Oryzias latipes: one gene and its partners. The protein of the gene in region 1 purifies or fractionates together with the protein of each later gene. This does not show direct contact. Links are inferred from orthologs where the notes say so. Each region holds a gene or a part of one and is shown in the gene's direction. Other genes may lie near its edges. The genes, in order: lsm14a, c1qbp and eif4enif1.

The links.
Region 2: the proteins of lsm14a (region 1) and c1qbp purify together in Homo sapiens (affinity purification with mass spectrometry; 3 studies listed by BioGRID and IntAct, with this or other methods). This does not show direct contact. The link is inferred for Oryzias latipes from reciprocal best matches to the Homo sapiens genes LSM14A and C1QBP.
Region 3: the proteins of lsm14a (region 1) and eif4enif1 purify together in Homo sapiens (affinity purification with mass spectrometry; 3 studies listed by BioGRID and IntAct, with this or other methods). This does not show direct contact. The link is inferred for Oryzias latipes from reciprocal best matches to the Homo sapiens genes LSM14A and EIF4ENIF1.

The regions. Positions count from the first base shown.
Region 1 is NC_019861.2:30,568,055-30,572,055, reverse strand, and holds the start of lsm14a (protein LSM14 homolog A), read left to right. Parts: upstream 1-1,199; 5' UTR 1,200-1,408; coding exon 1,409-1,532; intron 1,533-2,061; coding exon 2,062-2,225; intron 2,226-3,225; coding exon 3,226-3,376; intron 3,377-3,611; coding exon 3,612-3,806; intron 3,807-4,001. Other genes in the region: transcription initiation factor TFIID subunit 4, read right to left, coding at 1-483. UniProt on the Homo sapiens protein: Essential for formation of P-bodies, cytoplasmic structures that provide storage sites for translationally inactive mRNAs and protect them from degradation. Acts as a repressor of mRNA translation. May play a role in mitotic spindle assembly.
Region 2 is NC_019872.2:21,256,206-21,260,230, forward strand, and holds c1qbp (complement component 1 Q subcomponent-binding protein, mitochondrial), read left to right. Parts: upstream 1-1,205; 5' UTR 1,206-1,336; coding exon 1,337-1,589; intron 1,590-2,493; coding exon 2,494-2,644; intron 2,645-2,724; coding exon 2,725-2,818; intron 2,819-2,896; coding exon 2,897-2,992; intron 2,993-3,073; coding exon 3,074-3,199; intron 3,200-3,277; coding exon 3,278-3,427; 3' UTR 3,428-3,674; downstream 3,675-4,025.
Region 3 is NC_019863.2:612,815-616,896, reverse strand, and holds the start of eif4enif1 (eukaryotic translation initiation factor 4E transporter), read left to right. Parts: upstream 1-1,279; 5' UTR 1,280-1,524; intron 1,525-2,082; exon of another isoform or gene 2,083-2,210; intron 2,211-2,475; 5' UTR 2,476-2,511; coding exon 2,512-2,601; intron 2,602-2,676; coding exon 2,677-2,750; intron 2,751-3,090; coding exon 3,091-3,218; intron 3,219-3,349; coding exon 3,350-3,624; intron 3,625-3,810; coding exon 3,811-4,009; intron 4,010-4,082. UniProt on the Homo sapiens protein: EIF4E-binding protein that regulates translation and stability of mRNAs in processing bodies (P-bodies). Plays a key role in P-bodies to coordinate the storage of translationally inactive mRNAs in the cytoplasm and prevent their degradation.

The DNA.
Region 1 (4,001 bases):
GGGCGCCTTAGTGCTTCGGTTGGATGCGGTGCTGATGCTGTCTTGAGGAGTTGACACACTGGACGCGGTCAGTGTTGTGATGGATGCTCCATGTGATTGCGAACCGTTGCTGCTGGCGCTCACACAGGCGGGCGAGGTGGCGGAGGGCTCGCCGAAGGACGGAGCACAGCCCAGCGAAGGAGATGTGTCAGTTTTATCCTGGCTAACGTCTTTAGAGTTGATCTCCTGGCGCATTTCGGGTTTTAAACGGCGTCCTTGTTGTTGTTGTTCTAGTGTTGTGATGCTCACTGGAGGTTGTAGCGTTTTTCCTAAGTGGTGATTAGCAGGGGGCACAGAGCCAGCGCCTCCGTTTTCGTCTGTTTTGCCCACCGGGGTGCTTTGTCCAGTAAGCTCTGACTCCAATGAACCCACCAGGTCGCTAACGGCTTTTTCATCCACCTCTGAATAAAGCATATCTTCCAAGGGGTCGGAGGCGCCCGCCATCTCTGATCATTGATAGTCGTCTTCTGTTTTTTTACAGTGCGCTTGCGTGTTACTAGGCATTGTGGGAATGGACCTGACGTCATTAATTGAGCTCCCTGTTTTGGTTCTGTGAATTAAAGACGTTTTTATTCATTTATTCTTCTCTTTTTTTATTCGTTACTTATTTTTTTCATTTTTAATTACGTATTCATTTATGTACTTATGTATTTATCCACGCCTTATATCTACTATCATACATACTTGCATATTTTTTGTTTATTTCCCTTTTTTACCCTTATCATTGTCAATGTATTTAAAACTTTTTTTACGATGTTTTAAAAATAGGTTTCAAAAACACATATTGACCCGTGTTTTATGCTGCTGTAGTTGCAAAATGGTGTACAGAACTTTAAAACACCAGACAAAAACCTTGTTCTCTAAAGATTTGATATTAAATAACAACATAAAAAATGACTAATGGAGTTTATTACAACATAATAAATAAATAATACATCCACAAGATGCTGCTAAATTCTTCACGGAAGTGGTTTTTGCTATTTAAAATAGTTCCAGAAATTCATTTTACAAAAAATATATATTATTAATTACTAATATTTAACTTCACAATCAAAACAATTCATTTTTTAAAAGAGCATTTTAGCGAAAATTATTGGTTGTTCTTGTTCAAGATGCGTGTCGGAGCAGAAATGTAGTTTTGTGAACTACGGCCTTTCTCCCAGCATGCTTAGCGCCAGGGGAAGGAAAATGAAAACGGCCATGTCGTGAGAGGGATCACGGAGCGGGTTAATGTGCTTCAGGGTTACCTTTTGTATTTGTGGTATGTAGGTTTGAAGTTGCGCATCGGAAAGTTGAATATATTTGTTCTAGGTTGACTTAAAGGGCATTCTTCAAAGGTTAGTGGCGTATTTAAATCAGCAAGGCAAACATGAGCGGAGGAGGGACGCCGTACATAGGCAGCAAAATTAGCCTAATCTCAAAGGCCGAGATCCGATATGAAGGAATTTTGTACACCATCGACACTGAAAACTCGACAGTAGCTCTCGCTAAAGGTAAGCATAATCACACACGAATAGATTTTAGCTTTCCAAAATGACCAAAAACGTGGTATATGGTATAGGAAACCATTATGTAAACAATTTTCCCGCAGTTTGCTAGCTTAAAGCTAGCATCTGCTAGCTTAGCTGTGTTGTGGTGCACACTCAGCGTCCTTTGTTTACGTAGTTTTTCTTTTTTTTGAGCACAAATGACTTGTATGAAAAGTTAACGTGGTTTTGTTTTAACCATTAGTTTAATTAAATTCAAATAGTTTTATTTTTTGGTTGTATAAAACTAACAATTTTAATAAAATTAAAGTTATCAGTGACATTAAACTCGCACTTTCTAACTGTTGTATTTAAACTCCAAAAGTCTACTAGTAGCATGTTGAGTATCAAATTAGACTCCAATAAAAAATTGTTTTACATGTTTACAAAAAAAAGTACATAATTACATGCCCTATGCATTTCGTATTATTGGAGTAAAAATTTGTATCTTTTGATGCTTGTTTTATATTCAAATTGTCTCTAATTTTCTTTACAGTTCGGTCTTTTGGCACTGAAGATCGCCCCACCGACAGGCCTATTCCACCCCGGGAGGAAGTGTTTGAGTACATCATCTTCCGAGGCAGCGATATAAAAGACCTAACGGTTTGTGAACCACCCAAAGCCACTAGTTCTCTGCCTCAGGATCCCGCCATAGTCCAGGTGAGCCTTTTGTGTTTGACACTTCTCCTTTGCAACTCTTTTCGCACAGCCCAATGTAGTAAGGGGCCTTAGAGATAATTAGTAACAGCTGGGTTTCATCTACAGCAGTACAGGTTCAAATGACAAGCACACACAGCTCTTTTCTGATCGTGCAATCTACTTTTAAAAGATCTTTATTGTTCCTCTTCCTGCTTTTCATTCCACATAATTTTTCTGGTACTATCCAATATTAGCAATATTAGAATTTTGAAATCTCTGAACCTTTTTCCAGGTTACAGCTTTGAAAACTTAAGACACTGTCCAAAATAGCAAATGAAAAGATGTTTTTTTTAAATGATTAGTTTTGGAATTACCCAGACTCATGTGTAATCTGTTACAATAGTAACACCCTCAGAATCACACTAGCAACTCATGTAGATTATATTTTTTTTGGATGTATATTGAGCTGATTAACAGCACAAGTTGTGTGTAATTTTTTTTTTTTTATGCCCAATAGATATTTGTTTTTAAGATAAAAGGGGCCTCATTGGTTTAGCACATTTTAAGCCACTGTTTGAATTTGCCTAAAATATACCGGTAGTTGGATTCAAATTTTCTACTAAAGAACCTACATCAGAGCTACCAGCCTGTGTGTTTTACAGATGTATCTGTACCGCTTTCTGCTGACTCCTCATTCTGATTGAGTAAACACACCTGATCCAGGTAATCAGCATCAAGACGTGCAGGGAGATGTGGAAAACAGGCAGGGTAGTAGATGTTGAGGAACTACGTGGTTTAACATTGAGGCAAAAAATAAAACCATTTCCATCTGAATATCTATAACTGTATCAAGGTAGATTTTTGTCTTACTGTGGACCAAAGCTTATTGTTGTAATGAACTCCATCAGTTCCCCTTTTCCTGAACAACCGAGTCATTCGTATTTTTGTTGTGATCATGAACAAAAACAACCAAAAATGCCATGGCAGTCTTTAAAAACTGAATCTCTCTTCTTTTTTTTAGTCATCAATTGGATCTTCAAATGCCTCAGCAGCATCCTCATTTCAGTCTCATGGGTCCTATGCACCATTCAGCAGGGCCCCTGTTCCATCATACAGCCAGTTTGGCGTTACTCCCCTTGGACCCCAACAGTTTGGGTCCCTTGGAGCTGGAGGTAAGAAAAAAAGCATGAATACAAAATTTCATGTTTTCTTTTTTTTTATTAAATACGTAAGTATAAAATGAAGGGATCTATAATCTGTGTTAAAGACCTGTTATTATATTGGTTTCTTTACATTTCAACTTACATTTATTTTTCTATTCATGGTATTCAGAAACAACCTGTATATTTTATTTTTTTTTTATTTATTGTGAATTTTAAATAAATCATTTTAAATGTTTTATTGCAGGACGTGCAAGCCCTCCACTGGACTCTTTGATAAAAAGTTCCTCGGGGGAACAGGCGGTGCAAGCTCCACCTGCAGCTGCCCCCGCTCCGCCAGCTCCTGTGGGACAGAGGAGTCAGTCAGGAGTGACTGCTCAAAAACCCACCAGCACCTCCACGGGCAGCCAGAAACCCCCTGACCTTCTGGAGCAGAAGAAAGGTAACAGTAGCCTCCGTGGTTCTTTTAAATATCTCAAATCTATTTAAGAGGTTTAAAAATGGATCTTTTTGATGCAATAAAACCACTTTTGGCAGCATTGTGTTCTGTTGGGTTTCAACTGCCCCAAAAGCGCTGAAGCATCTGCCATTTTGGAATGTGAAATGCTGGGCTTCTCAATAGATTTGTATTTAGATT
Region 2 (4,025 bases), on another chromosome or scaffold:
ACTTACAGTGGTATCAAGTCAATAACATGGAAATTATGGGAGTTTTTTTAGTAACATTTTGCATCATTTCTGGCCTTTTTTCAACAGCAGAATTTCCATCCACATAAGAATGCAAACTTATCTACAGCCACTACCTTTAAAAAGGTTTAGTAAAGATAGATACATAAAAGCTCTTGGTCTATATTTACATGTATGTATATATGTAAAATTCAAATAATTAAATTATATGTGAAATAGTCAAGATAATTACAACATTTATCAGGAATTCATGGTAACATTATCTGTGCTAAATTCACAGAAGCTACTGTGTTCATAAAGAAAAGTTAAAAAAAGAAACTTAAAAAAAAACACCACTAAACTCACCCTTTAGGTCTGAATAATTTCCTTCAAAAATGTGGGGACATAAATCTCTCAAGTTGCTTTTGTGCTTTTGTACTGTCTTTAGGGAAGTCTGACAACAAAGAGACTTTTTTTTTCAAACTGATTCCTTAAAAAAAAAAAAAAAAAGTGCGGTCACAGTCGCAACCGATAGTTTGTAAATTAGCAGATTCAGTCCAAACCGTTACAGAATTTCCTAACTTAGAAAACAGTAGTTTCCATGGTGAACACATTTTTTTATAGAATAGAAAATAATCTTTTTACATATATTTATATATATATATTTAGCAAATTTTCGTGGCTTTGATAAAGGGGTTTAAAAAGCATATAAATTTATCTTAAAAAATGAATTGGCTGTATAGTGGGCGTTGAATGGTTTAAAAACATGTCAGACAGCACCATCTGATGGCAGCAAGACTACAATTTCAATATATATTGTCGCAAAGGATGATGCAATGTTTCTACATGACGGGCCTCTACCGGTTGAGATTGTATTGATATTTCTTATTTAATCAAATTTTATTTCACTTGTATGTGCTGTCGAGTTTATTATAAATAAATAAAGAACTCCCGCCACTAAAGAAGGCAGACAATCTCTAATAAAACATTCACATCGAAGACACAGGGGGGCGCCACTGAAAATGCACTACGTTTTTTAAAAGTGCATCATATTTTTTCAGCTATTTTTTAAAAATGTTTTTCCATTTAATTTTACCATCCTATTTTACCATCATATATAATCAGTTAGTGTTTAGTGTTTAGTAAAGTAAAGTCAACTATTTGATATAAAACTAATGTTTACTGAACTAAGTACTACTTCCGGTTCAGGGGTCATAGTTACGCTAGGTCAATGTGCCCTTCCACACGTGTTGCCGGTGTCTTCTAGAAGCGTTCCTGGTAGTACGTCGGTGCCTGCGTGTTCTTATTTTTCTCTCTTCTTTAAACAGTTTATAGTATCATGCTAAAGTCTCTGGTCCGCGCGGTGGGAGCTGCTGTTCGGCTGTCCTCGGCACCATCCGCTGCTGCACGGGCTCTGCCGCTCAGCTGTCCGACCAACCGCTCTCCTGGTTCGGTTGCATCTCGGCCCTTCACCCGCTCCCTGTGGATGTTGAACAGTAACGGAGCCCCGTCGGGATACAGACCTAAACTGTTCAGCTCAAAAGTACTAAGTCCGTCTGTGTCGTGTGGATGTGGAGGGCTGCACACGGAAGGTAGCTGAACGTCCGCATGTTTTTGTTTCATTTATCTAAAAAAAAAAGAGAACCTGTAAACACAAGTTTGGGTTATTTAAAGCAGCAAAACAGCTTAAGTTGCTTACAAAATTGAAAGACACGTGGCGGTTAATTGGGGTTTTAGACGACACGGCGAGCGTGCTGCATCCTGGTTTAGGAGCTAAAGAGCTGACATCACTTTGGCAGGCAAAGCTTTAGATGATAAACAATCAACTGATGTTTTAACTTGTCGCTTAGCAACAGTACTGCTAATTTCCAGACTTCACAAACTATTTGAATTTTACAGTGACCCGATTTTCCTCATTAAAAGTGCTTGTTTTTATTTCTTTTTTTTTTTTCTTTACTCCTTCCACTCGGCAGAAATTGCTCCTGGAAAACGACACAGGTTTTATAAAGATTTGGCTAAAAACGTCAAAATTATTATTTTTAAAAAAACCCCACTGTGAACGCTTTTACAATCGAGCGGGAGGTGATTGGAGTGGAGCTTTTAACATTTTAAACTAATCACAAGTGAAGAGTCCCTTTATATTTACATCTGTATTTACTCAGTCAGCATTTGTTTTTTTGAATATTCCGCTGGTGTGTTATCCATCAACACTTAAAGATTCTACACGATGTAGGTATTTTGTATGTAATTGTGTAACAATTGTTTCAGATAATGCATTTTATCAAGTTTTTTCACCTCTAACTTGTCACATGTTTAAACATAAAACATTAAGGTTCACTGATAAGTTTTTCCAAATCCCCTCTGCCGAAGCCAATAGTTTACTCATATAAAGTTATGTTGTCATCCCATCCTGTGTGAAATGTGGATTCATGTTTTTTATCAAGTTGTCCATTCTACATCACACAGTTTCACCTAAATCTGTTGTCTTTTTCTCAGGAGACAAAGCGTTTGGTAACTTCCTGTCCGATGAAATCAAAGAGGAAAAGAAGATCCAGAAAAACAAAACCCTTCCTAAGATGTCTGGAGGATGGGAGCTTGAGATGAACGGCACAGAGGCCAAACTCACAAGACACCTTTCTGGTGAAAAGTAAGGCGATGGCTCACTCTCTGAGGACAAAGTGACCGTGTAGGAGTTCCTGCAAAGCAGCTTTTATTTTCTGTCTTCAGAGTGACGGTCACATTCAACGTTAACAACAGCATCCCTCCAAGCTTTGAGGAGGAGGAGGAAGCGCAGCAGCAGCAGAAACCAGCAGAGGAAGAGGTGAAGCTTTCGAATTACCTTCTAGATTTGTGATCTTATCATTTATTTATGCTCACTAGTTGTTGTTTTCCTTTGTAGCCAGAGATTGTATCTACGCCAAACTTTGTTGTTGAAGTAACAAAACAGAATGGGAAGCACACGCTCGTGTTTGACTGTCATTTCCCTGAGGATGAGGTATGAATTAAAACGAAGAAAGAAAGAAAAACTTCTGGATGAAGTGGTTAGGTAAAAAGGTGCCGACTTTATCCAATGTAGATGAGTCATGGTGAGGGGGAGGAGGAGAGCGACATCTTTGCCATCCGGGAGGTCAGCTTTCAGCCAGAGGGAGACTCTGAGTGGAAGGAGACCAGCTACACCCTCAACACAGACTCCCTGGACTGGGTAAGAGCTGCTGTGAACCATGAGCACACGGGGGGTCATGAAGGTGGGATGTTCTCAACTCTGCTGGGTTCTTTTTAGGCGCTGTACGATCATTTGATGGACTTCCTGGCCGACCGCGGCATTGATAACACCTTCACAGACGAGCTCATGGAGCTCAGCACTGCCATAGAGCACCAAGAGTACATCAAGTTCCTGGAAGATCTCCAAAGCTTTGTCAAATGTAACTAATATTTAACTTAACTGTCTGTTCTCCAGATGAAATTTCAAAGGACTAAAGCACTCAAGACTCATGTTTGGCACCCGGCAACAAGAATGTTGCTTGTTTTTCTGTAACTTCAATAGAAATATTTGTCAGCCATAGTGATCATTTAGTTTCTCAGCCTCTATTTTACATCTCATGTCCCCTTTAAATGTGTAAACGTTCAATCAAGACCTGTTCTAAAGCTAATAAAGAGAATTGTCAGTTTTCATTCGAGAATTTGTCACATTCTGAGGTTTTACTTTAGGAAGTTTTTATGTTTATTGAGGAACATTGACATTTTGTTGGTGGCTTAAAAACAAAATAAATACACACAAATTCCACACAGAACCAATTCAAGGTTTTAGATCATAATCATCACCTTACATTTTTCTCAATACAGTAAAACTTGAACAAGTTCAGATGCTTCAAAACTGAAATTATTTGAAAGATTCTTTATAATTTAGAAATGAATAGAACTGTTTAAAGGAAACAAATGGAAAAACAATATTAAACTGTTTATGTGCAATAGAGGTTGATCAAACCTTAAGCTCCTCCTAAGAAGCAACCCCGCCCCCCTTCCTCCCA
Region 3 (4,082 bases), on another chromosome or scaffold:
GTATTTTCCTTTCTCCTGCCTCAGTGATGCTGAATTTCTCTGGTTACGGAACGTCCAAATAATATACCTTCAAAGCAATGGCTGGCAAACGCAAACAGCACTCAGGTAGAGTTTGTACCTTTCAAGCATAGGATGTCCTCAGATGACCTAATGACAGTCTGCTCGCAGTTCCCCGCTAGAGGTCCAGCACTCACCTTTGCATGAATTCAAGGCTCGTGCCAGTTAGTATACAGGCTCTAATAAAGTCAAAGAAATAAATAGACTGGTAAGCAATGGCAAGACCATCAAGGATTTCCCCAACTCTGATCTTGAAAACTCAAAACAAAGTTTGCTAACTGTCAAATGTTACCTGGAGGAGAATCTGTGTTTCCAAATGATTAGAAACTTTGTGAAATGCATGAAGTGGTAAAGCAATAAAACTCAATAATCACAGCAGTAAAATCCTAAGAAGTAAGCTAACAGTCCTAGAACCCGATCTAGTTTGTTCATCGAGTCTTCCAGCAGGGATGTCCAGCTCTGTGAAGCACTTCCTGTTTGTTTCTGCACCGACTTGCAGCCCCGACTTTGCGTCTCTGACTGAACTATGTTGCATATTTGCATCGTAGTTCAACTAACAAGGAACGGAAACCATATCGCATAGTCGCAAACTTAAAATTTGAACAACTTTCCTTGTCACGTGACCCCTAGAAACGGTAACATCAGGCGGCAATGCTCAAATATAAGACATTAGAAATTGTAACTATGGATTACACTTTTCTATTTTAAACTCAGTCCTGCTGTACTCGTTCTACTTTTCGAACTGAAATATATGTGTGTATATTATTATAAAATATATATTTTAGATGATAGTCACATTGGGTCCTCAGCTTTTGGAGGAATACTAAACAAAATACAAAACCGCCCACAGGGGTGGAGACGGCAGTTTCTGACAATATCACTCCGAGATCAAGATTGAGGGGGAAAAATCAAGCATACCCTGAAAAAATTAGGTATTCTATATAATGCCAGATTAAATGAATGAAGTGTTTGGTGTTTTTTCATCAACAAAAAACTTCACAATAAATATACACGATTTTATTAATTAACAAACATTTATTACGTCTATATAATATTTAAGCAATAAGAACAAGATTGCTCCTACACCTTCAGTAACAAAAATTTAAATTCTACAAAGGCGCGACGGGCACCTTTTAATCTCTCTGAGGACCTTCTTAAAGCGGTGATTGTAGGAAATTCGCTGCTACGACTAAGAAACAAGAGAAAGAGCAAACAATAATTTGTGATTACAGAGTTTCTGTGCGACCCGATTAATTATTTGGACTAGAAATACTATTTTGAGTTACCCTGCCATAGCCTGTAACAATATAGCTCTTTGGAAAAGTCGACCGCCTTATGAGTTGTTGTTTGCGGGGTGGGAATTATCCCCATTACCCAGCTAGTTAGCTAGCGAAAGGCGCTAGGCTAACTTGCTAACTAACGTGAAGTGCAGCTGTTCGGCAGTATTTCACGCATCATTTCAACTGAGTAAGTTGTTTGTTTGTGTTTTTCAAGATGCTTTTGACAAGTTTCTGTTGAATCACATTTTTGCCATCCCCTCAACTCTCAGGGGTTTGCATCGGACTGTCTCAACTCGGGTAACCATAATTAACCAACCTGTGTTTATTGTTGTTCTCTAATGTTGAGGTAAATGGGTGGAGGAAAAATACTACTTGTAGTTAATAATTTGTTACCAGGTGGCATCAACATTTGTCGCAAACATTTTGCGATTCATTGTAATTGACTGCCACTTGTGTTGTCAGGATGCTTTCAATTAAGCCACTAATTGGTCTCCACTGACGGATGGTTTGGGTCTTCACTGTTAAGTGAGTTAACTCCCCCCCCAGTATATATCTATTTTAATTACAGATTTGAAAACAAAGTGCTTAAAAAACTAAACTACAATTACCAACCAAGTTTAAATAATCCTATAGTAGACATGATGCATGTAAAGCTAATGGAAATAAACTATAAACAACATACTAACCTCCGGAACAAATGGGTTTTGATGACTTTGAAAAGTTTAGACCAAAACCACCAATGGACGGATGAAGAGGTTGTTCCACAAATGGAGGACAACTTGAAAAGTTTGATCCCCGTTGATTTGAAGCGTTTTGAGCCCCATCAAATGATTCTGCTTAAAAGATCAACATCTCCAAGCCAAGGATTACAAGGTTAAAAAAATATATATTTTATAAGCTTTATGCCAGCAAAGCTCCAAAATAAGTACCAGTACAGTATTTTGGGTTTGACAAATTATCTGTGTGTACTGTTTGATGTATTTACAAGAAACTTTCTTTAAAGGTTTGGTTTTTTTTTTTTTTCCTGCTAAGACATTGTCTGATTCTGAAACTTATTTAATATCAAGAAGTTGACCAATTATTTATTTATTGCCTCTAATGACACCAAACGAATGTGAAATTCTGCCGTTTTCAACAGGATCAGTAGTTTACCTGGAACCGCTTTGCCTGCATCATGGACAAAGATGCCTCAGAACAGAATGAAAGTGCGTCCACTGAGTCCAAGCAACAGGCACTGGCTACGTCTGCCTACAGATACACCAAGGTGATGAGACGCGTCAGCTAAACGTTGCTGCTTATTCCACACCGTTTTCCTTTTAACACAAGCATTTGTGCACAGGAAGAGCTTCTCAGGATAAAAGAGCTTCCCATTTCCAATCAAAGGCCTGAGTGTCTCTCAGAGAAATATGACAGGTAAAACCGTCTCCTTGTGAAATGCTTTTCTTTTTTATTTCAAGGGTTAGTCATAGATATTTTTTTTGCCTCTTGATTATATATCATATTTTATCAGCTTACATTTGATTGTGGCAGATTTAGTTCACTTAGTGACTAAAATCGCAACAGTTTGACCTTTTGTTCCGAACAGGATATGTCAGTTACAATTACTCTGAGGTTGGTTGGTTGGTTAATTTTAGGGTTAGTATATACTTCCAAAAATACTGAAACGTATTCTATGTGTGTTTTAACCAGCCAGCCCTACTTGATCTTTATGTTACATTTCTTTGCTCACCTTCCCCTAAAAACTGTTCTTTAGTGATGGAGTTTGGGACCCAGAAAAGTGGCATGCCTCACTCTATCCAACTTCAGAGCGGAGCTCTCCGGTGGAAGGTTTTAAGAAGGACTACATGGATGAAAGGGTTCCTTTAAAGCGAAGAATCCCAGGTATGTGCACTTCAAGAGTGAGACAGTGGTGGGAATACCACAAGACTTTTCTGTAGTTGTGACTTCAAGCTTTCAGGAATATTTACTGAAATTTCTGAATGAAACTTCTTTTCTCACCTATTTCCATGAAGATCCCCGTGAGCGGTTGAAGGAGGACGACTTGGACGTCATACTTAGTCCACAGCGCCGTAGTTTTGGCAGTGGATGTCAAGGCAACGCCCTACCCGCTGCTCACGTCCGTCGCCCAACCAGTCCTCTGGAAAACAAGGAGAATGAGAGCCTGCGTCTTGGAGGCCCCCGCAGGATTGGCAGCGGCCGCATCATCCCAGCGCGGGTTTTTGAGAGAGAAGCCCGAGTAGAGAAGGACAGAGAACGAGAGAGAGACTTCAAAGATAAAAGATTCAGGGTTGGTTTCTTCCATTTTTACAAACATTTAGGTCTCTTTAAAGAATTTTCTTTAAATTATCCTGTTATGATGACTAGTCTTGTATTTTAGTATAACCCTGTTGAAAGAAGTTCTCAATACTTTGCATTCAGTAGTCCATCGTTATTCCCTTTTCCATGTCCACCGACCCCTTTTCTGAACTGGCAGAGAGATTTTGGTGACAAACGTGTGTTTAGTGAGAGGAGAAGAAACGACTCGTATGTTGAGGAGGAGCCAGAGTGGTTCTCAGGAGGCCCCACCAGCCAGTCGGAAACCATCGAACTCACCGGATTTGACGACAAGATCCTGGAGGAGGATAAACGCAAGTCCAAGAGGTCCAGGAAGCGGACGGAGCCCATCAAAGAAGGTCGCTCACATGTACATTGAAGACTGTTTTAAAGTTGGCCAGAAAATCATTACTGCTGGGGGGTCTGTTCCGT